3 linked regions of the Medicago truncatula genome follow. The protein of the gene in region 1 interacts with the protein of each later gene in a pairwise test. Links are inferred from orthologs where the notes say so. Each region holds a gene or a part of one and is shown in the gene's direction. Other genes may lie near its edges.

Region 1 (8,465 bases):
GTAAAACAAAATTAATATGTTTAGTTGAAAACATAAAAACACTTATGCTGTGTCAATTTTTATTTTACTCATTTTGCATGTAATTTTCAGCTTAGATTTCGAGTACCAAATACCTAACTAAAAGTTCATAAATAAAAGTATCTATTACCGTGAGTTTCGTTTCATTAGCAGGGATATTATATATTATATGCAGAGGTTGGGGTTCGAACCCCGAACACCACAATTAAATTGTGTGAACTTCAGCCACTAAACTACTTGACAAAAAATATACCTAACTAAAAACACTTATTGATTTCCCTAAAAAAAATATTGATGAATAGAAAATAAAATAAAGTTATCAAACAAAATATTTACACTTTGTCATGCGACTATTACGTATTAGAAGTAGACAAGAGTTGGTAGGATAAAAACTAATTAACAAATAATTAAACTTTTTGTTGAATAAAAAACACTTTGTAGGACATAGTAGATGGGACACCCTACACACCATAAGTTGCAGGTAACAGGCCCCACAAGTAAAGGTCCCCCTTCCAGAAGTAAGTATTAGAAGAGGTAAAAATATCAATTAATTACACAAACAAAGTAGGGACCAATTGAGAAAAATGTGTCTAAGTCAATAGTCAATACCCATTTTGCCATTGAATTGGAGGGTCCCAACTAATTACACAATCCAACCCAAAAACCAATAGGTGGATGAATGGAGAGTGTGAAAATATAATGGTGGGTCCCACATGACCTAGCAAAGGGTCCACCACTATTTTTTAATTTTTCCTTTGTGGTCCACTTACAAAAGTGAGGGTATAGAGAGGTACCCTAACCAAAAAAACCAGCATGGTCATGACCTCATTTTTGTGCATGGGCCCACATGGAAAGAAATCAACCGTTGGATTGACAGATAAAAAAGTGGGACCAACATTGTGAGTCGTACGGTGGGGCTCACTTACCTTTATATGTGGGTATGCCCCATTGTTAGCGTGCGCACCACACACATATAGGGTCCCAATCCTAACCTTCTTCAGACCCTGGCTGGCCCCTCAAAAGGGGGGTGCATGGAGAAATAAAAGTGGAGCCACCCATCACTTTCTACATCATGTATACGTATGAAATAAGACAAGGTGAGAATAAAAAGTTATGGTCATATTTATTTGTTTTAATTGTGCTATGGACCAAGTATTTATCACTTTTAAGCCTAGTCCCATCCAAAATTGTTCTTGTTCTTGTAATAATAATAGTAAAAGAAAAAAAAAACAAATTGGTTTTGAATTGGAGTTTGAGTTTATCCTATAGGCTATTGAAATAGTTATTCTATGTGTTGGTGATGATACAAATAATTTATTAATAATAATTTGTTTTAAAAAAGTTTAAGCCCCACATTACTCTTTTTTTTAACAAACTAAAATGAGATATATATTATGAACAATGGCGATTTACCGTGCACAAGACATGCAAAAGGTAAACCGATTAACCAAGATACAGTAGTAAGGTGCTATTTTAGAAGAGCACCATAAAAAAGTTACAGAAAATTACACAATAACACCCATGCAAGGAATTGGGTGTTTCCACCAGTCATAATAAGAATAAATAAAAGATGTATGCGATGCTTTCAGCCACATAAAAGAGTTCAGCTTCACTTTTTCAGCTAAAGAAGAAGGATCACAAACCGTTTCTTGGAACACATGGTTATTTCTTTCCTTCCAAATAGCCCAAACATAAGCGAACCAGATTACTTTCAGGAAATAATGAGTGGCTCTAGGCAATCCGACCAAATTAGAGAATTGTGTAAAATGCCGCCGAATATCACCTGGAAACACCACAAATAAGCCTAACCAATGCAAAATATGATCCCAATGCGTACTAAAAATATTACAGATGCAAAACAAGTGATTTGTGGTTTTATAAGCACCGCAACCTGACACACAAACCGAGTCTGCTATCAGAAGAACTCGCCGATGAACCAAGTTGTCTCTAGTAGGAAGTCTATTTCGGAAAAGGCGCCACACAAATACTGACACCTTAGTGGGTATGCTCTTATGCCAAACATCTTCAACCAGAGTCCTATTCCCAGCGTTACCATTATCAGTGAGAAAGCGATATGCTTCCCGTACCGTGTAACCACGGGAAGGATCTATCAACCAAATCCAAGAATCATGAACATTAACCTGCAAAATGACATTAGAAAGTAACATAGAACATTCCTTCACACTTTCCTCCTCCCACGCCATTAATCTTCGCCTCCACGCCCACCCCCCACCTCCAACCTCCCAACCTTCCCTACTCATATCCTCCACCGTACACTCCTTGCTCACAGACAAATAAAAAAGGCGGGGGAATTTACAACATAAAGGTGTATCCCCAACCAATTATCATACCAAAATAAAGTATTCCCCACATTACTTTTTAATAGAGATCTTAGAAGTCTGCTCACTTGAGATTGGGTTAAGGATAGTGATTTCAAGAAAAATTCTCCGATTGTTAAATCTTTTGATACAATGTGAGTAATTGGATGTGATAATTCTTGTCAATTTTAGTTTCATGAAAGATCACGAGTTTATATATAATTTTGAGAATCCAGTAAATGGTACGAGCATAAGAGGTGAAACATGTTTGAGTTAAGTACCACGAAATCTACCCCCTTGTGTAAGAAAAACAAGTTCAATTGTCTTATTTAACATTTTCCAAAACAAATACATCAGCTCATTCAATAGCAAGATGCGAGCTTAGTGTTAATCAAAGTTTGGACAAAATAGTGAAATTAGATAAACTCATAATTTTAAGTGAGTTCGCCTTTTTTTTCTCGCCCAATTTTTATTTTACTTTGAGCTCATAAGCTCATTCAAAAAAAAAAAAAAACTAAAATTGTTTATTTTTTGAAAAAAAAAAAACTAAAATTGTTGGTAATTTTAATATTTAATAATTACATCAAATTTGTTATTCTTCAAATTAAAATTGAAAAGGATCTTTTATATATTAGGTCAAATACCCAGTGATCATTTTAAGTTAGATGTTTGTAATAAGTTAATCTTTTAATTATTTTTTGTTAGAAATTATTTCTTTAATTATTTTCTTCTAACATATCAGTCATTTAAATCTTCACCAAAAAAAAAATATCAGTCATTTAAATCATAAAGTATTTTTATTGTTATCCATTTTCATCCAACTTTGTTAAAAATTGCTTATGATCCCATTTAACATTGAGATGACAATTCCAAAAGTGTTTACGAACCTACCACAAAGAATGGGTTTCATCTTATACCGAACATCTGAGCGGTGGATACCACATTGTTTTGAAAAATCAGTCACATGTTATGCTCCTTCAAATGATCCATATACACGTCAACCAAATATTTTGAAAATAATGACGAATTTCCTTATATTAAGATCAATATTTGCAGTTAATTATTCTTATAATCTTCATTAAGAATTATGTGGTTTTAAAAAATCAATGATTTTTCAACTAAAATATTCTTCAACATTTTGTTGAAAACCCAAAATCATAATTTGTTGAAGCAAACCTATCTGAAATATGAATCATTCACTATTTCTTTCACGTATCCTATGATGTATACTCTTCTACAAAGATACACACACATGCACACAAAACATGCTTTCGATACATTGACTATTGTGACTTTTCGATTTCAGATCTTTGTCAATGCTGTCTTTTTTCTATTATGTTTTGTTTTCTTTATTTTGTTTGATTTCTTTCCAATGAATATAAGTTGTAGTTTGTCATTAAACTTTCTTAGTCTAAAAGCACAACAATTTCCTTATCATTTTCTACATGATGTCATTTCTTATCTTAATCTCTTACGGCAAAGGGAATTCCCACATTGATGTATCTTTTGGGCTATCTTATAATTTCTTACTTTTTAATTTTGTTTTTTCATAATGATTTTCAGTTTTTCTGATATATTATATTCTACTGTTTTGGCTAAGTGTGTGATATTTCGTGTTCTATCATCAGTCTCGATGGACCATTTTTTGTTTTTTCTTTTTCTTTCCATTAAATATAGGGTTTTGTTAATTTATGTTCTTTCAGTACATGCTACGAAATTTAAATGTAATATTTTTATATCAAAAATAAAAATGTTTATACTTTAAAAAATTTAAGTGCACGATTTATGAGACAAAAGTATTATTCTCCTAAGATGGCAATATACTAGCAAATTTGTTAAGAACATCCTTTAACAAAACTCTCCTTAGATGTATGATCAATTAAATGCATTCAACCTTAGATGTATGGCCAATACTTTAATTTCTTGTAGGAAGTTCGTGTCAAAAAAACAATCTTGTAAGAAGTTGTATACGTGTCATTTCTTGATAAAAAAAGTATAAATTAGTATCTCACTCATTTAAAGCAAAAACCATTCATACATGGGACTATTTAATCAAAATAATTCAAAGTTGTTAGCTTGATAAAAAAAAGTATAAATTAGTATCTCACTCATGTAAAGCAAAAACTATTTATACAAAATAATTCAAAGTTGTTAGCTTGATAAATATAATATTATAAATTCTCTCAAAAAAAATATAATATAATAAATTAATATCTCACTCATGTAAAAGCAAAACTATTTATACATGGAAATGTTATTTATAAAAATAATTCAAAGTTGTTAGGTGAGATATTATTAATTCCTGGAATTGATCGGGTGGTAAAAATAACTTTGAACGGATGCATAATTCCTTTATCCTAAATTATTTCTATTAAAAGAACATTGTGAATTTTTTTTCAAAAATGTATTTTGACATTTGATACTATATTTTGATTTTCTCTTGTACATTATAGTGTAAGTAGTCATTTTCGTCTATAAATGTGTAACGAATAGTCACAATAATCTGTGTATCGAAGTTCTAAAATAGTTTTTGATTGTATATTCCGTCAGTTAAAACAGTCTCTGACCTAGAAATTATTTTTTTTGATGCTCATAGTAACTCTTTTCTTACAGAAATTGTATAACATAATGTAAATACCTATATGGATTGATACGACAATATTAGATTTAGCCGATCATTTTAATGTCAGAGATTATTTTGACTAACATATTGCACAGTCAGATAATATTTGGAAATTTCGACGAATTGAGAGACTATTGTAATATTCATTACACATTATGACTATTTACCCTACATTATATTTTGATATTATTTTATTTTGCTTTGCATATCAAATCATCTTAATTAATTGTTCGACGTAGAAGATATCCAATTCGAACTAAGACAAAAATCAAATCACTTTTTAATGGTGGTCGGGGTTCGAACCCCAAACCTTGACAAAAATCAAATCGCAAATAACTCTAAATGTATTCCATACGCTATGCAAAATCTGTTTTTTATGTAAAACTAACACTCCTCTTCTTTTTTTACTATACAAGTAGCATTATGTTTTTAACTCCATTGTGTCGCACAAAAACTATACCATATTGACTTTCACACATACAAGATCATAAAAAATGCATGAGATCATATAAGAAAAAAGATTTATCCAAATATAAAAAAAACCTATATACAAAAAATATTTACATAAAAAAGAATCATTTCCCTTATCCTTCAAATAGTTCATGCCATCATCAATTAATCATGCAAGAAAGAATCTTATCAAGTTCCATACTCTTTTTCTTCATTTTTTTTTCTTCTTTTCATCCTCTTCCTATCCTTCACTCTCTTTTTAACAATTGTTTTGTGTAGTTTGCCAAACAAGTGTATAACATTGACCAAAACCCTCCTAACATTAACCCCATAAGAATGGACCCATCACATGGATTAGTCCTTATCATAGTGGGTCCAATAGCGATCACCGTAGATTTCTTTCCATGTAATATCATATAAGACGGTATCATAAGGGTCCCATCCTTCTATATCACTGGTTACTACCTCCCTCTATGTCCTACATTTAATAACAACCCTTTCACTCTTCATTCAATCTCAACACTCTCTTTGTGCTATATATATTCACACACTTTCATTCTCGCATTCAAATTCTATACCAAATCTAAATCATCTTCCTTATCCATTACCTTCAATTTCTTCATTCATGGCTAAAGAAAATTCTACAAACATTGATCTCACTCTTGGAGAGCCGAAAGAAGAACCGGAAATAGAAGATGTATCGGCGATAAAAGTTATGCCGATGACCATGCACGTGCCACCGGGGATACCTATGTCCATGCAAGTGAACAAAGCCTTGGTTCAAGCCCAAGCCCAAGCTCAAGCTCAAACCCAGGCCCAAGCTCAAGCTCAAGCCCAACAAACAATTCAAAAGAGATCATCTACAAAAGACCGTCACACAAAAGTCGAGGGTCGAGGCCGAAGGATCCGAATGCCTGCCACATGTGCAGCTCGGATCTTTCAGCTGACCCGAGAACTCGGACATAAGTCCGATGGCGAAACAATACGCTGGCTCCTCGAACACGCGGAGCCAGCTATCATTGCCGCCACCGGTACCGGCACAGTCCCAGCCATCGCCATGTCAGTCAACGGAACACTAAAAATCCCCACCACTTCCCCAACCAAAAACCCTAACCAAGAACCAAACCAACAATCCGATGAATCACCTGAGAAAAAGAAACGTAAACGACCATCAAACAGTGCTTACGTAGATATAAACGACACCACTGTTTCTGTTTCATCCGGTTTAATAACAACCTCAAACATAAACACAAACACAAACCTAAACCTAATTCCTCAACAACCCACAATTCAGTTACCACAAAACATGGTTCCTGTTTGGGCTATACCATCAAACGCTGTTGTACCAAACGGAAACACTTTTTTCGTTGTTCCAACAAATCAACCACAGTTTTTTACATTGGCTAGACCAATAACCGGTTTTGTTTCTTCCATGGTTACACCAGTTATTCAAGTTCAACAAGCTTCATGTTCTTTATCTCCTTCAACAAAGTCTCCAGCTAGAGCCACCGTGATGGCTCCAAGCACGGCGGCAACAACCACTACTCAGATGTTAAGGGATTTTTCATTGGAGATTTATGATAGACAAGAGCTTCAGTTATTATCAAGGTCTTCTTCGAAGCATTGATAGAACCATAGAACCAGAGAACGTTGAATTTGGTTAACGATGTTGTTTGAAAAGAGAAGAGCACGTGGGCACGTGAGTGGGGAAGGGGAAATGGTGGGGTCCATGTATGTGTGGGTCAACTAGAAAAGTGGGGGGAATGTGGGGCCCAGTATTGGTGGTGCTGGCTTCTTGAACCGTGCAATGGGGGGTACTAGTAGTACTGTTATTATTCTACTCTACAGCTGCCAAAATTTAATTTTTGGATGTGTAATAAGAATATTATCAATTAAAATTAGAATAAAAATAACCGTTATTCATGGTTTTATAAAGGTTTTATTCTTGATTTTAAGTTAGTATCCCTTGAAGTTATGTAATTAGTGTACTACTTAAAATCAGTTACAAAAATGTTCTTTAAGAATGTATTAATACTATGTAATTTTTTTGGTGTAAATTAGATATCATTTGTGCATGCAACTGTGGAGACTAATTTTTTGAGTCTTGTAAAATTTAAATAGATGATTTTTTTTTGAAAATCTCCTCTAAATCAGTAGTATAGTTATTGAAATCATGAGCATCATCTTGTAGGTTCTAGATTAAGTAGTAGTTTCAGGTCCCATAGCTATTGTTCTTGATACCGGATTTTGCGCATTGCTTGAAATAAGTTTTTATAAGATCTTTATCAACCAAAAATTTTGACTTTCGATTTTTAACGTTGATGCATGGTCAAGACTCAATTCAAACTTAGAATTTAATTAAACTAAAAGAAACTCGTGATATATCATCTACGCGTTTTTAGGTTAATATCGATAATTTTATTAATTATTTTGTTGTACGTATCTCTATTTTATTTTTTGGTTTATTTATTGGTGAAAATGGATATGGGTCCACCTCTTATTGTGGTCATGTGAGGGTGGGTGAGGGACCCAAGGGAGGAATGGCCTAATGGGTGGACCCAAAACGGGACCCTTTTTGCACACTTCTCAAAGAGGTGATTTTCAAAGTGGTCCCTACTTGGGACAAGTGAGTCCATGAGACACGTGTCGAGTGATGGAATGTTGACAGGTGGGGTATCACTTTTGGTTAGACACGTGGGGGTTTAGTGTGGACCCACGTTACATGTTACGAAGCCTTTTTATTGGCTTTTGTTTGCCTGGCCCAAGAAAATGTGAAGGAAAATTGATGTGGGTGTGTGGAAGTGTGTGAGAGAGAAAGAGAATAAACGGAGTATCTTATGCTGGCCACTTTTGTAGAGCTTTCTTTCTTGTAGGACTCATGGGAAAAGGGGAAACAACCATTTTGATTTTTGAAAGTATATTTTATCACTTTTCATCATTTTTTCTGTAATATTTTAAAAAAAAATGTTAACTGATGTGTTTGGGATGTTTTTTAAGCACTTTAAATAATAAATTTTTAATTAAAAGTTTTGTAATGAATGCATTAGAAATTGTAA
Region 2 (8,520 bases), on another chromosome or scaffold:
TTACGAAAGAAATAAGCATAATAATAAATAAGGGTGTAAAATTAAACTTTCAATTAAAATTAGAGGTAATAACGAGTCATTGACATTGCCGAGTATAAGCTCTTATTCTCTTTTCTTTACTTTATTTATTTATAATATAGGTGCAATCAGTGGCGTTGCCGGGACCCAGGGTCAGGAGGTTCAAAATTTTAAACTTTAATTTATAATAAATATAATAATATATATCTAAAAAATTACATTGTATTCAATTTACAATGTACTCAAAAAACTTCATCCATTCTTTACAAATGTCCCTTACGCGGTGCCATCTTCTGAAATCGTTGAATAATCAACTCATCATCAATTTTGTCCGCCACATCTCTCTCAATATAAGTCACGAGACAATCATTCATCCAATCATCTCCCATTCGATTACGCAATCTAGACTTCACAATCTTCATAGCAGAAAAGGCTCGTTCAACGGTTGATGTGGCAACGGGCAAAATCATTGCTAACTTCAAAAGTCCATAGACTAAAGGATAATCAATATGTTTTTTGAGTGCAACCATTTTTTTTTTGAAAGATCACTTATTCCTTTCAAAGATGCAAATTCAACACTCCTACGCATATCAAAGATGTAAGTGTCAAGTTGACTATCAAGCAACACCAATGAAGTTGGAGAAAATTCAATTGGATAAAACTTTGCAAATTCAATCAACTTTGCTTTGTCAAATTTAGAGAACGAGTTGTTTGGGCACATACTCTCCATACAAATGAGCAACCGACTATTTGTCTCATTAAAACGATCATTAAGTTCTTGAAGTTGCATGTCCACAACCGTATAAAATAATTCAATGCGGTAATGATTCCCTATTGTGATAGATTCAGCGTTACCTCCACGTATTGACTTTCCACGGAAGAATATATCATCCATGCTTGGAATGTTAATGTCATGCTTATTGCCAAATAAAATTACCTCCTCCAATAAAGGTTCCCATCCATCATCTCTTAGAGCTTGTAATCGCTCCTTTGTGATGCTAATTAGGTTCATAGCATTGACGATGTCTTGATCTTTCCTTTGCAATGCTTGTGACAATTCATTTGAAAAACCTAAGACCTTTTTCATTAAATGCAATGTGAGTGCAAAATCAAAAGTATTCATGAGAATTAAAAGACCTTTTGCTTCACCTCTTCCATCTTTAATTGATACATCATCTCTCAACATTTCAAGAACATCAGTTATAGAACTATACATCAATATCAAGTTCACCAAACACAATAACAAACTTTAAGATTCAATGAGTATGAAATAAAAAACAACATTCTTTCACATTTTCATCTAGTGCTACCACTCCTTTCTTACCATCCATCCCCATTAGAGTAAAACAATGTCACACAGAAGCTCACTCACTATTATAATGAAACATGATAAATTAGTAGGATTCAAACAAAGTAGAATAACATGATTCAAACAAATTAGTAGGATTCATATTAGTTTCTTGGTTTAAAAATCAAAACAGAAGCTCATTCACCATGATTCAAACAAAGCAACATGGAAATGAAACACACAAGTTGAACAAATAGAATAACATGATAAATTAGTAGGATTCATATGTTTTTTTGCATTTTGAACAAATTGAACAGATACTAAAAAATCTGAAGCGAACCATTTACAACAAAAAAACCATGAGTGTTAAATTGCCACTTTAAAACAATTCTCCAATCAATTTCACAACACAGACATATCATTAGGACCCTCAATTGCATATTCAATCAACCAATTTATCACAATTGAAGTCATCTAAAAAAAAAATCCAAATTTCAAAACCCTAAACCAAAGATTTTTAATTGATTACCTTGGTGGTAGATTCAATGTCTTTGAAAGCTTTTGAATGTCCCTTTGCGGTTGCACGACGGCGGAGGACGGCAAAATAAGGTGGAGACGGTGGTGATTTATTGCAACTGATTTTTGAGATGGAGAGAGAACTAAAACGTGATTGTAGATGGTAGTTGAAAGGTCGCGAGAGTGAAGATAGAATGGGTTGGGTGGTGGCGCGGTGGAGTTTGGTGGTGGTTCTGCCGCCGGTGTGGTGGAAGTGGAGGAAGAAGGGTTTTCTAAGTTAAGAGAAGATAGTTTAGAGAGAAGTTAAAATGTGTAAATGAGTGAGTGATGGTGGTTTGGGTCAGCTGGTGCAAAGAAAAAATATGAGGAGGTTCAAAGTGCTAAAAACATAGGGATATATGTGAAAAAATTTAATTTTGAGGGTTGGCAAGTGCATCCCCTCAGCACTATGTGCCTCCGCCACTGGGTGCAATAGTTGAAGATTGCAAAAGACTAACATCAAGTATCATTACTTTAAATTTTTTAAATATTTACCGTGTTGCGAATCAAGCGGCTCATTTCTTAGCTAAATTGGTTATTATGTCTCTTGTGAATTTGTTTGTGTTGATGAAACCCCTCCTTATATTTATGTTATTGTGTCTTTTAAATTTATCGTCATATTTCATTAAATAAATGTAGTCATTTTAAAAAATAAATCATCCCAAAATTTGGTAGCTTAACCGCACAAAATGTTAGAAGAGGTGTATCACATGAACTTTCCAGAAGGTCAGTTGTTTGACCAGCTACCATAGAAAATAAATAAATTTAAAACAAAAAAAAAAATCGCATAGTCATTATTCGATTGTATGTATTTAGATATATTTAACATTTACTCCATCCGTTTCTTTTTAAGTGTCATTTTAAGGTTAATTTTTTGTTCTTATTTAACTGCATTTTGGTATTTTAATGGTACGATTTGTCAATTACTCATATTTTTTTCTTTGTTTGGTTACTCTTATCTTTTTTAATAAAATTAATTAATGTTATATATTTGAAAAACTAAAGTTTTTTTTTTTAAACTAAGTTTTTTTTTTAAAACAAAATTTGTTTCTTGTTATCTTCAGATTTAAACAAATGTAAAGAGATAAATATTGTACACGTACCATTGTTGCTCTTTTCTGTATGCTCTACTAAGTTATCTTCATCCAGTGTGGATCTAGCATTGGTTAAAGCCATAGTTGAAGCCTTAATTTTGATTAAATAAGTTTGAGGACAGATAATTTTTTTCTTAGCTTTTTATTAATGTGAAGTTGGAATAATTTTTATATTGACTTAAATTAATTAAAGAGTTGTGCACAATATTTCGAAAATTGACAATTGTTTGTTATGAGAAGGAGTGTGTAAAAAAAATTGTTGGAGAAAAAGATAGTAAGTAACAAATGTTTGTTACGATCTAAAAAAAAAATGTTTGTTATGAAAAAATATAACATATTAAATTTATTAGAAAGATAAAGTGTGTGCCAAAATATATAAATATATTGGTGGATTAAATTGAGGGTATAATAGGAAGAAAATGTGCAAAAATACACTTTGCTATTTTTCGTGGAAATTTTTTAAAATGACACTTAAAAAGGAATCGAGGGAGTTGTATTTTTATATAAATTTGAAAAAATGCATCACTATAGTAAATAACATTCGCAAACTCAGAGTCAACAATAAGTACTTCATTGGACACATCTTAAATATATTCGGTACCACTGATTTCATGGATAGCTTTGCTCTTTTATTTTTATTTTTATTCATAAACACATTGAACTTTGGTTGGATATTGATACTCCGTGACAAAATTCATTCAAAATTTAACCTTTTTTTTTTTTTTTTGGTCAGGCAAAATTTAACTTTATTTTAAAATAATTAAAACAGAAAATATGACATGACATTAAATAATTAAATGATAGATATGTATCTAATTAAACTCAAAGTACTATTGTGTTCAATTCTTTTTTAACAATGGATGGCTTTGCTTTTAAATCTTCTTAGTAGGGCTTTGAAAATAAATACTGTAATTGGAGAAATGGTGGTAAAAACGACCTTTGGAGTGGGATAACTAATAATAAGGTGGATAAGCATTCACAATCCTCTTTTGTACCAAAAAAGATAGAGATGCTATTTTGCACAAGAATATACTCAACCTTCAGGTTTGGAAGTATATACCCACGTGAATTATCCCTGCTAAATATGTTCCTAATTTCAGAATTAAGTTTAGACCATCATTTGGGATGCCTTATCAACCAAGGCTTTAGTTTTTCACTAGGCTACTCTTGGTGTTTAGGAAATGATATTTAGTGTGTGTTTTTTTTTTTTAATGGATAAAACAGATTTCTAATGAACGAGAAAGAAGAAATAGAAGAATAAAGAGAAAGTTGTTAAATAATTTTTACAATTAATAAATTCCCAAGACAAATGTTTAATCCAAAAATATCCATATATATATATATATATATATCTACATTTTTTCATTGCAATTCTGAATATTATCTTTCTCACTTTCGAAGAAAAGTAGTACGTAATTGTTTCATCAAGTTGATGATGATAAGTACTGTATCGAAAGCAACCCAATCACTTGCATGAAGAAAAAAAAGCAACCCAATCACTATACTCAACTTCTAATCCTCCGCCACGTCAACAATCAGAAACAAATCTACGGTCAAAAAGAAACGATCACGTATCATAAAAAAAACACCGCGTAGCATCTTATCTTTACCTCTCTTTATCCACGACAAGATAGATAAATGGATAGTGTTGTGTTGTTGGTCTTTCTCTCTTTCTCTTTCTCTCTGCAGCAAAACCCGAGGGAGACCAAACCAAACATAATAATAAACTCAAATAAACCAAAAAAAACAAAAACCTTAAAACCTTCAATTTCATTTCATGTCTCGGATCCTGTGATTCGGATCTTCAAAACCCGATAATTCACCTCTCTCCTTCGATCCGGTTCAGAAATCATGACCCGTCGTTGTTCTCATTGCAGCCACAATGGGCACAACTCAAGAACCTGTCCAAATCGTGGTGTGAAGCTGTTTGGAGTAAGATTAACCGATGGGATCCGGAAAAGTGCTAGTATGGGTAATCTTAGCCACTATAGCGGGTCCGGGTCTGGACTTTTGAATACCGGGTCAAATACTCCTGGTTCACCTGGTGAAAACCCTGATCATGGTGCTGATGGCTATGGTTCTGAGGATTTTGTTCCTGGTTCTTCTTCTACTTCCCGTGAAAGAAAAAAGGGTTTGTTTCTTAAAACCTTTTTCTTTTTAACTCTTTTGCTTGCATGTGAATTTTTGGAATTTAATTTTGTTCTGTTTTTTTTTTTTGAGCTAGATGAATTCAACTATATTGGATTAATTATGTGATCTTGTTTTGGATTGGTTTGTATTTACGATTATGACAAAAAAATATTTATATTTTTGATTTTTGGTTGGTGTAATTGTAGGAGTAACTAGACAAGAAAGGTACTGATACGTGTTAACTTTATTAGTGATTGTCTCTTTTGAGAGAATTATTGGAATGTTTCATGAATTTTGTATCTGAATTTTGGTCTAAGAAATGGATAGATACAAGTCTTAGGCCATGTGGTTCAAAAACAATGTTTCTCATGTGCTTCAAAATTACTCATATTTACTTATTTAGTGTCTATTGGGTTGGTGTCTGTTTAACTTGGATGTGTTGTGTATTCTAGTCTCTAATTATGGGGGATGTGGTCCATTAATATGCATATATTACACTGTTTCAGCTATCTAAACTAGGCTTTATATTTTACATTAAAAAAAAAAATAAACGCGTTGAAAAAAGTCTATGATGATAGATTAAATACCAGGCTGTGGCAGGTGTTTAACAAACCTTGTCTAGCTTGTTTCACCCCTAATGATCTGCAAGCAATAGCAGAATATGCTCTTTCTAGCTATATAGTTCGGCTCTAATGAGCTTTCACTTAAAGACGAATAATTCAGGAGAACCTGAGTTCGAATCATGACTAAAACAATCTTTGGCCAAGCTTTATTTTCGTCTAGGTCGAACTCTGGATTACCAGAGGCCCTTTCCCCTAGGAAGTAGGAACCGAAGGGTCAAGACAGAGAAAAAAATGGTCTTTTTGATGATGATTTCTTAAGTTTTATCAGATTACACACAACCCTGAATAGGGTCACATTTCTTAAACGACAACATGGCTAGCTTATTTCCTCCCCTAAATCTAATACTATGTGCAAGGTTTGGCTTCCGATCCATCCCAAGAGTGAGTAGGGCCTAGATCAAACTTTAGATAGACCTTTTTGCTTCAAATGAGATTTGTGGCTATTTTTGCCAGCATTTAAAGCTTTATTTTTTAAACATTCAAATAGTCAATGTTAGGTATAATTTTTTGGGGGCCTAAAGCCTTTGACTCATTTAACTAGGTTTCAGACCAGTACTGTTTAGCTGAATTTGAATTTTATCTATTTGAAGTTCATATTACAGTCAGCTTCAACGGGGATCACGGAAAATTCTTGTGTTGTTTTTGTCAGCTTTTGATTTTTAATATATTTTTTTCAGGCACTCCATGGACTGAGGAGGAACATAGAATGTTTTTACTTGGATTGAACAAGCTGGGCAAAGGTGATTGGCGTGGAATTGCCAGGAACTATGTTATATCAAGGACACCTACTCAAGTGGCCAGTCACGCTCAAAAATATTTCATCAGGCAAAGCAATGTGTCTAGGCGAAAGAGACGGTCCAGCCTGTTTGATATTGTTGCAGATGATGTTTGTCCCCTTATTTCCAAATTCTATTTGCATAAAATGTGTTTCCTTTACATTATGTTGCATATAATGAAATTGATGCCACATAACCTGTTCATTACCATTTGATAAGATTATCCAAATGTGTTTCTTTCTTTAACGATATTGTTTGACCTTTTATGGATACTTTGAAAATTAAGTCAGTGAGTCTCATGTACACGACACTGTTTTCCATTTGGGAAAATTGTCCATTTCCTGGACATTTTGGATGTTGATGACCTCTCTGTGTATTAATAATGTTCGGGTTAGATATTTATAGAACCATGGCTCTAGGGTATTTAGCAATGTTTTAATAGCCGGACTGAACCAACCAACCGGTTGTGCTGAGAGGGAACCAACTAGTTCCCTGGTTGGTTTGAATCCAATTATATAGCTGGCTGGTTGAACCGCAGTTCAACTGTGGCTGGTTCAACCGTTTTTTTTTTAATACTTTTTCTTAAAAAACTTTTTTTATTTGTCATTTAGTTCATTGAACCATGACCTGTATTTCTCACCAATTTGATGTCGGTACTGATTTTTAAAATATTGGTATTTAGTTTGGAGGAAAAACATTGCATTTTCTGATGTGGTTCTCTTTTGAAATTTATATAAGCATTATGTAACCTCACTTTTCCTTTTCCTTCTGAACCTTCTAATTTTTCTGGATTTCTTGTATTTTTGTTTTGATTTTGCAGGCACCTGATACTTCAATGGTACCGCAAGACTTCTTGTCAGCTAATCAACTACAAACTGAAACAGAAGGCAATAACCCTTTGCCTGCTCCTCCTCCGCTCGATGAAGAATGTGAATCGATGGATTCTACAAACTCAAACGATGGAGAGTCTGCCTCTGCCCCATTAAAGCCCGACAGCAATGCACAAGCGTCGGCTTACCCAGTAGTATATCCGGCATATTATTCTCCATTCTTCCCTTTTCCTCTTCCCTATTGGTCTGGATACAGTCCTGAGCCGGCTCCTAAGAAAGAAACACATGAAGTGGTGAAGCCAACCCCAGTACATTCCAAGAGCCCAATCAATGTCGATGAACTCGTTGGCATGTCAAAACTGAGTTTAGGTGAAACTATTGGTGATGCTGGCCCCTCGACTCTGTCTCGTAAACTACTCGAAGAAGGTCCGTCTAGACAGTCTGCTTTTCATACAACTCCAGCTTGTGGGACTGTTCTGTGAGCATTATTATCATGATGTGGTCTTGTGTAATTCATCAAATATACTTGGTTTGGGATAACCTTAATAATTTTTTACTTGCCCTTCCAGAATGGTTAACCTAGTTTGTTTGTTTGTTCGCTTGTAGGCAGTAGCATCTAGTATTTACTTGGGTTTAATTAAAACTTGATGTTTGTTTAGTAGTTTTCAACTTTGCATTTCTCAGGGTTATGTGAAGCTTGATTGTGCAGTTTGACAATCTACCAAGTTGTGCTTCCAATTTGAGTGTTGTCAAAAAGTTAGGACTATTACTTTTCCTACCCTATCATTTTCTCACATTCTCACATGTCCTATTTTTCTTTTCTTTCAAAAATACTCCTTGTTCGGATTATATAATCTGAAAATAACTATCAATCTATATGTGTTGCCCAGTATTTAAAAGAAAGAGAGGTGTGTATTATTTCATTGACATAATTATAAATGACAAAAACATAAAATAAATATAATTATAAACAAAATTAATGGAACAAAGATGATACAAATTTTTATTTTATTATAAGTTAAATTATAAGGTTTGTTTCCTTTTTAGGGTGAAAGAGATCTTGGTGGTCAACCTTACACCCAAGCAGACCAACCTCGCATCCAGATAGGCCGCACTTCTTTGCAGTGTGGCACCATCCCCATTGATCATTCCTACAATCATTGGATTTTCAAAGTAGCCTTTTGTATGAAAGACCAATGAAGGAAA
Region 3 (7,415 bases), about 30 Mb from region 1:
TTCTGGAAAATATAACATCAGCTTCCTTTTTTCCAAAGATTATTAGTTGGCTTCAAGAACACGATATATCCGAACTTAATTATTTGCTGATGAGCTAATTTTACGATTAATATAATGATCACCAATGTATTTGATATTTCCAAATCGTCTTGTGTGTTGAAGTAGTAGTAATTTCATACTATTGAAATAAATTATTCAATGACATTAATTAATACAAGAATACTAGTATGACACATGCGGGTGATGTCAAAATTAATTGTGACTTTGGAATTGTCTTCTTGTTTTTTTTATAGTAGATAGACGAAATGACAAAGCCATTATAAACTCATACACAAGTGGAGGTATTGAGGTTCGAATCCTGATCATGACGTTCGGCCTAACAATTTTGACGTTTTACCAGTTGAGCTAGGACTTGCTGACGGAATTGTCTTCTTATACATCAATAAATTACCGTAATTGTTGAGCCACGGAGAAAGGGGTTGCATCAAATTAAAGGGGGACTGTGTTCTATGTTCAATGATGATACATTTATTGCATATAGTTTTTTGAACTGGACTGAATAACAAGAGATATCTCTTTAGTTCTCCCTTAAAAAAAAAAGAGATATGTCATTAATTGGTAAATTACATGTAATTTATTCTAGCAACTATAGGAATTCAAAAAGGCTAGCACCAAATCAATTCTTTTGTTGGGTAGTACTACTACTAACCACCCTTTTTTTTAGGTCTAGATTACCCTCTCTTGTTTAGGGGTATTTTTATCCTTTCATATCAACCAATCAAAATGTAATATACAAATATAATATTAAATGTCAAATAAATGAGTCAATTTTTTCTATAAAAAAAAAATCAATTTTAATCCTAAGGTAACATTTAATTTAATTATATATTTAGGTATTCAATCTTAATTAATTTACACTATAGGTCTTGCAACAATTAAAATTTCACATCAAATTCAACCCATCATATAACACTAAAGGTCATTTATCTTATTTATTTGTAACACATTAGTCCTTTATCTTTTTTTTTTGTTCCATTTAGGTCCTTTATCTATTAAAACGTGCACAAGTTAATCCTTTTCTTAATTTTTCTATTAAAAAAACATGAAAATATTAATTTTATTAATAACTTTGTTTTAAAAAAAAAAAATAATAATAAATAAATTCATAAACCCTATGAATATTTCATCCTCATATTCATCATCTTCATCTTCTTCCTTATATCAAAAAAATTGTCCATCCAATAAACCTTCAAATTTCTTAAATATTTCCACTTCCATCTTCTTCTAAACACAAAATTCAAAATACTCAATTTTTTTTTTGAAGAAAAAATACTCAAATTTATAAACCCTAAGTTTGCCAAACCCATAAATCTGAATTTTAGATTTAAAGAAAGAAACCAAGAATTCAAAGTATCGATCGGGTTCTTGATTTCTATGAAATTTGATTATAATGGTGTTTGATGTGAGCTTGACGAGGATTGTGCATATGAGCTAGCTGTTTAGCTTTTTAGATTCTTAACCTTTTTGGATTTTTTACTAGTGTTATACAATGGTATAAACAATTTCTTATTGTTGCAGGCCAACCTCGCCTTCACTACCATCATAGATAGGAAAGCTACAGGGAAAATAATAATTGTATTCGATGAGAAAATTACAAGATCTAAGTTGTGATGATCTTTACTAAAACTATGCTTGAGCACTCAAACATGAGAGGTTTACTATCCAAATTGTGAGATTTTTTCTTTAAATCCAAAATCCAAATTTATCGGTTTGGTAAAATTAGGGTTTATGAAATTTGGGGATTTTGAATTTTGTGTTTAGAAGAAGATGGAAGTGAAAATATTTAAGGAATTTGAAGGTTTATTTGGATGAACAATTTTTTTGATTTAAGGAAGAAGATGAAGATGATGAATATGAGGATGAAATGTTTATAGGGTTTTTGAATTTAATTATTAAAAAATATTTTATAAAATAAAGTTATTAATAAAATTAATATTTTCATGTTTTTTTAATAGAAAAATGAAGAAAAGGATTAACTTGTGCACATTTTAATTGATAAAGGATCTAAATGGGACAAAGAAAAGATAAAGGACTAATGTGTTACAAATAAATAAAATAAAGGACATTTAGTGTAATTTTGCTTAAAATAAATTGACTCATTTATTTGACATTTAATGTTACATTTTGTATATTACATTTTGATTGGTTGATATCTTGAAAGGGTAAATACACTCTAAACAAGATAGGATAATGTAGAAAAAACCTCCTTTTTTAGGTACAAACTAACCATCATTTTCTATGAGGGGAAGCAAAATAATTTTCTTAATAAAAAATACGATCTCATTTGACTTAAAAAAATATCTAAATTATCGTAATTTTCGTACATATTTTTTCTTGCAATTTTTCGTGCATATTTTAATTAAAAATATAGTATTCCTTTTTACTTTAAATAGGATTTTTTTTTTTTATCAAGTGACTTAATATCTAAGCTGATACATATTAAGTGTGAAGGAATGAGGAATTTAAAGTTTCAACCTTGTCATCTCTATATCAACGTCCTTACCGTTATCAATTAACCTACTTAAAACTACACTGATATAACACATTTATAGTTAACAACTGAGTTGTATTTACATGAAAATGCATAGAGAACTCTATTTAACCGACTATCGATAAAGGATTTCATTTAATGAATAGTTGGCCATTTAAATTGGTCTTGGATTTTTGAGTTTGTAAACCGAAATTTTGAAGTCGCCATCCAACCAATCCCAAAATGAGTGAAGGAGACGGGGAGCGAATTAAATTATAGCAAGGAGCAAAAGGCATATGAAAATGGCAATAAATGGGAAGCAGCCCTAGGATTTCAGTGCACCTAACATCAAATTGGAGAGAGGAACCAATTCAATTACTATTTTCACCGTTAGCTACCTAGGCAGTGCATATGCATAAATACACTAATTAAGATAGAACGATTTCTATTATTTTCATTAGATGGATGCATATTTGATTAATGGTCGTACACATTGATGAGTCCAATTGCTACACGAAAATCATTCATATAAATATATATTTGGTTTGATATGTATGGATTGTCTAATTTTATCTAACAATCGTGATTTTTGACTAACTTATCACTATGTATGTTTTTATACATATATTTATTTCCCTTAAAAAATAAAATACAATTGATTTATCAATTCATAGACGTTAGTTAATTAAAACTAACCATGTATGTTTTTATACATATATTTATTTCCCTCTTTTGAGCCCTCTTGCACTTTTTCACGAGTGAGCTGTGAAACCTTTCTTATGCTTGCCTTGATAGGATTTGTTTATGTTTTATATTTTTATAAGTAGACATGTATTTCTTTGTATTTGTTCTCTTGTATTGTTGTATTCTTGTTTTTTTTTTTTTCTCTCCGTGATTTGTTTCATTGTATTTTTTGCTTTGGCTTTGCCCTTCTTGAGGCTGCTCTTTCCGTCACTTGACCTCTTTACAATTAAAAAAGTATAAATATATCACAATATTTTCATAAGCTCTTGTAAACACTTATAAAAAAAACGGCTTAAATATGTATTTCATCCTTGCAATTAGGGGTCGTTTAAAAATTGGTCCCTGTAATCGCTAATCCTGACAATTTACCCTTGCATTGTTTAATCATTTAAAATTTCGTCCCTCTCCCCACTTAATCACTGCCGCGTCACTAATTTGACGACGTGGCAATCACTATCACAAATGAAATTCCAATTTTACCCCTGAGTTTCCAATTCTTTCTTCAATATTTTGTCCTCTTCTTAAGGGCAAAATTGGAATTTTATATGTGGCAGTGATTAAGTTGGTCAAAGGACGAAATTTTAAATGATTAATGATTGCAAGGCTAGTTTGCAAGGATTACGAATACAGGGACCAATTTTTAAACGACCCTTGATTGCAAGGATGAAATACATATTTAAGCCTAAAAAAAACCTCTTAACATGACACTTCAAAATATTTCAAGACAATAATATTATTTTATTAAAGTTCAATTTCGTCTACATTTATTGGATAGGTCACAAAAGTCTACTTTTGGATTAACTAAAAGGCCTGTTTTTTATTTAGATAATATTAGGTCTAAAATAAATTAGTCAACACATATTTAATCGTGTGACGTTACATATATATTTATAATGAAATAAAAATTTTAATAAAATAAATTGTCTAAAAATATAACTATGAACTGAACTAGACTAGTATTTTTGAAGTTGGGATAGGAGGGGCTATAGCTAGGTATATGGATCAATCTCATGACTTTGTAGAACTACATTCGTTCAATTCAATTCAACCACTTTAATTTGCTGCACTGCACCATGCACTACCTTTTCTTTTCATTCATTTGTCTACATGCTTTTTGCAGTGACTCCCCTTTCAGTAAAAACCCCTTCCTACATATATAAATTACTTTCCCTTTTCTTTCTCAATTCTCTCCTTTCCTTTTGGGCCCCCTCTATACCCTCTACCCTCTTTTTCAACCATCAAAAACCTTCTTCAACGTTTCATATACAATACAACAATAAAAAAAACTTTCAAGCTAGGTAATATATTTTTAACCTCAATCTCCTTAATTTCTACTCCTTCACATTAATTATCTCCTCTTCTTCACACATGTGTGCGTTAACTATTATTTATAAGTAGCGTTGTTTCATTTCATATGATCATATCCAAAAATTTATTCTCTTCTTCTCTCATTCTCTTATCGTCTTTTGAGTTTGAGTATCATTTATATTCGTTTTATTGAATATTCATTTCTTCTGTTGTTCAAAAAAAAGTTGATCAAATATCTCAAATTAACCCCTTTTTATTGTTTATTCCCTCTTATCTTTTAGCTAATTAAAGTTTTTTTTTTGGTAGAATTTTAGCTAATTAAAGTATTAAATCAATAAAGATACACAAGATCATCTAACTAGCTAGATCCATCAAAATTAGAACCTAACACTTCATATTTTTCATATATATAATTGTTTTTGGTCATGGAAAATAACCAAAATAATACTAGTAGCGCATTCACAAGCACTTGGAATCTTGAAAAAATGGAAACAAATGAACAAAACCGTATTATTCTCCAACAAGATCATCATCAAGTTCCTATGAATTCTTCTGTAATTTGGCCACAAAATAACTACAGCAACATGATCATGGCACCACCACCACCACCATCTTCATCAGGTTCACTCAGTGACATCTTAGGGATCCATCGAATCGAAGACGTAGAAGAACAAGAAGAAGAGTTAGGAGCTATGAAGGAAATGATGTACAAGATTGCAGCTATGCAACCGGTGGACATCGACCCAGCAACGATTCGAAAACCAAAACGAAGAAACGTTCGAATCAGCGAAGATCCACAAAGTGTTGCAGCTAGACATAGAAGAGAAAGAATCAGTGAGAAGATTCGTATCCTTCAAAGACTTGTTCCTGGTGGAACTAAAATGGATACAGCTTCTATGCTTGATGAAGCCATTCGTTATGTTAAGTTTTTGAAGAGACAAATCAAGTTGCTTCAATCCACTCCTCAAAATCAACAACAACAACACATTCAATTGCCACTTTCATCACAATGCATTAATTCTACAACTCCTAGTGCTTTGTTATTGTCCCCTTCTTCCGGTTGTGACGTTTGGCCTTTTGCACCAAATTTACTACTCACTTCCACAACAGCTGCCACAGTGGACTTACCCGCCGGAGTTCAATTTGACGCCGGAGGACATTCACATGTTCATGCTTGTGATGGCTCATCAAGCTTTAACCATCATGAGGTAATTAGTGAGTGATTAATTAGTTAGGTTAAATTATATTATACTTAAATATTTTTATCTATGTATAAAAAGGACAGTCCATATTGCACAAGGTTTCACCAAGTGAAGTTTGCATAGGGTTGATGATTGTCTTCCCAAAGAGAGAAAAAAAATTCAGAATTCGAACTCATGACCTATGTCTTCTGTATAAGACAACAACCTTACCATTATTTATGTATGTGTATGAAATTGGAGAAGTATTTTTTATATTAGTATATGTATGTAACTATATAAGTTGATGATGAGTTTAGAGAAAGAGAAAAAAGAGGAAAAATAAATTAAAGAGTGAAGACGTATATATATATAGCTAGGTAGTATAGAGTAAAGTTTGATAGGGGAAATTGATCATGTGAGAGGGAAAAAGGTTTGTTAGGATTGTTGACTAAAGGTTGTGAAGAATAATCATAACGTTTGGCTTTGGTTACGTATAGAGGCATATATATATATATATATATATATATATATATATATATATATATATATATGTGTGTGTGTGTGTGTGTGTGTGTAATTATAAGAATAGAATAATGTGTATGCAGTTTGATTGTTGGCCGGAAAGTTTGTTTGGCCGACTCTCTTTCTGGGAATAAATTCAACAGTGACGTGAGAAACTATATAAATATTTATTGATCAATTTATAGTTATATAGTAATATCTCTCTATCTAGATTTCTTTTCTGTCTTTCTGTGCCTCTTTTCCATCTCTGTATATAAACATAATTACACATATGCATGCTTATTGGCATGTGTGCCGTATCTAAACAAACACACACAGACTCAAAGAGTGATTTGTACTCAACAAAAGACAGTGTATAATGTTAGAGTTTAACTAACTATTTATAGGTCTAGGTTTTGATATATTCTGATAATGTTGGTTGAACATGATTCCAAGACATAACTCGTGGTTACTTAAAGCTGAAGGTTCCTTATTATTAAAGGCCTGTGTGTGTATAGAACTGAAATGATTTGCATTTTATCTAAAGGAAGGAACTCTTGCTTAATGCTACTGTTTCCTGGTCGCAGCTGAATTGATTTTTTTATATACTTAGGTTTTTTTTTTACATGTTGAGGGTATTTTTTTAATGGAAAATTAAGTTTAGGGTTTTAATTTTGAAAGTAGTATATGCCATTCATTATGCTATGTCAAGTATGTTTTTTCTTGAAGTGTGTCTATTATTGACCTCTAAAAAATGATTTAAATGTAAATCTTTACTATTTTTAGTAAAAAAAAATTTGTAAAAATATAAAATCGAGATCTGAAATTATATCTTATTAAAAAATACTTAAAAATAGTAGAGTCCACCTTTGGAGTTCGGATCGTATCTATATTAGACAACTCTTTTTTATTTTATTTTTTTTGTTATATTTTAAGGGGGAGTTTGTTCAATTATTTTTGTAGATTTATTCGTAGGAATAACTTTTCTGGAAATATAAGGATGATAGCCTTGTTCAAAAATATTTTAAAAAATATATCCGTTAATATGATAATATTCACAAAAAAATACCTTTATAATACAGAGGTTAAATGATAATCATACATAAATATATTCTCATCGATATGAGAACTTTATTAGCACCCTTTTCTTT

Evidence for each region. The genes of interacting proteins can lie anywhere in the genome.
Region 2: the proteins of transcription factor TCP9 (region 1) and transcription factor KUA1 interact in binary tests that used the Arabidopsis thaliana proteins (3 or more experiments, as listed by UniProt). The link is inferred for Medicago truncatula from reciprocal best matches to the Arabidopsis thaliana genes TCP9 and AT5G47390.
Region 3: the proteins of transcription factor TCP9 (region 1) and transcription factor HEC3 interact in binary tests that used the Arabidopsis thaliana proteins (3 or more experiments, as listed by UniProt). The link is inferred for Medicago truncatula from reciprocal best matches to the Arabidopsis thaliana genes TCP9 and HEC3.

Annotation. Positions count from the first base shown.
Region 1 is NC_053049.1:13,107,321-13,115,785, forward strand, and holds transcription factor TCP9, read left to right. Parts: upstream 1-5,888; 5' UTR 5,889-6,034; coding exon 6,035-7,036; 3' UTR 7,037-7,466; downstream 7,467-8,465. Other genes in the region: uncharacterized protein, read right to left, coding at 1,524-1,801, 1,910-2,222.
Region 2 is NC_053045.1:49,443,238-49,451,757, forward strand, and holds transcription factor KUA1, read left to right. Parts: upstream 1-4,608; 5' UTR 4,609-4,806; coding exon 4,807-5,086; intron 5,087-6,385; coding exon 6,386-6,594; intron 6,595-7,304; coding exon 7,305-7,796; 3' UTR 7,797-8,108; downstream 8,109-8,520. Other genes in the region: uncharacterized protein, read right to left, coding at 512-1,096, 1,168-1,194. UniProt on the Arabidopsis thaliana protein: Transcriptional repressor. Direct regulator of the transcription of peroxidase (Prxs) and reactive oxygen species (ROS)-related genes via the recognition of 5'-ATCACA-3' motif.
Region 3 is NC_053049.1:43,198,915-43,206,329, forward strand, and holds transcription factor HEC3, read left to right. Parts: upstream 1-4,936; 5' UTR 4,937-5,007; coding exon 5,008-5,805; 3' UTR 5,806-6,003; downstream 6,004-7,415. UniProt on the Arabidopsis thaliana protein: Required for the female reproductive tract development and fertility.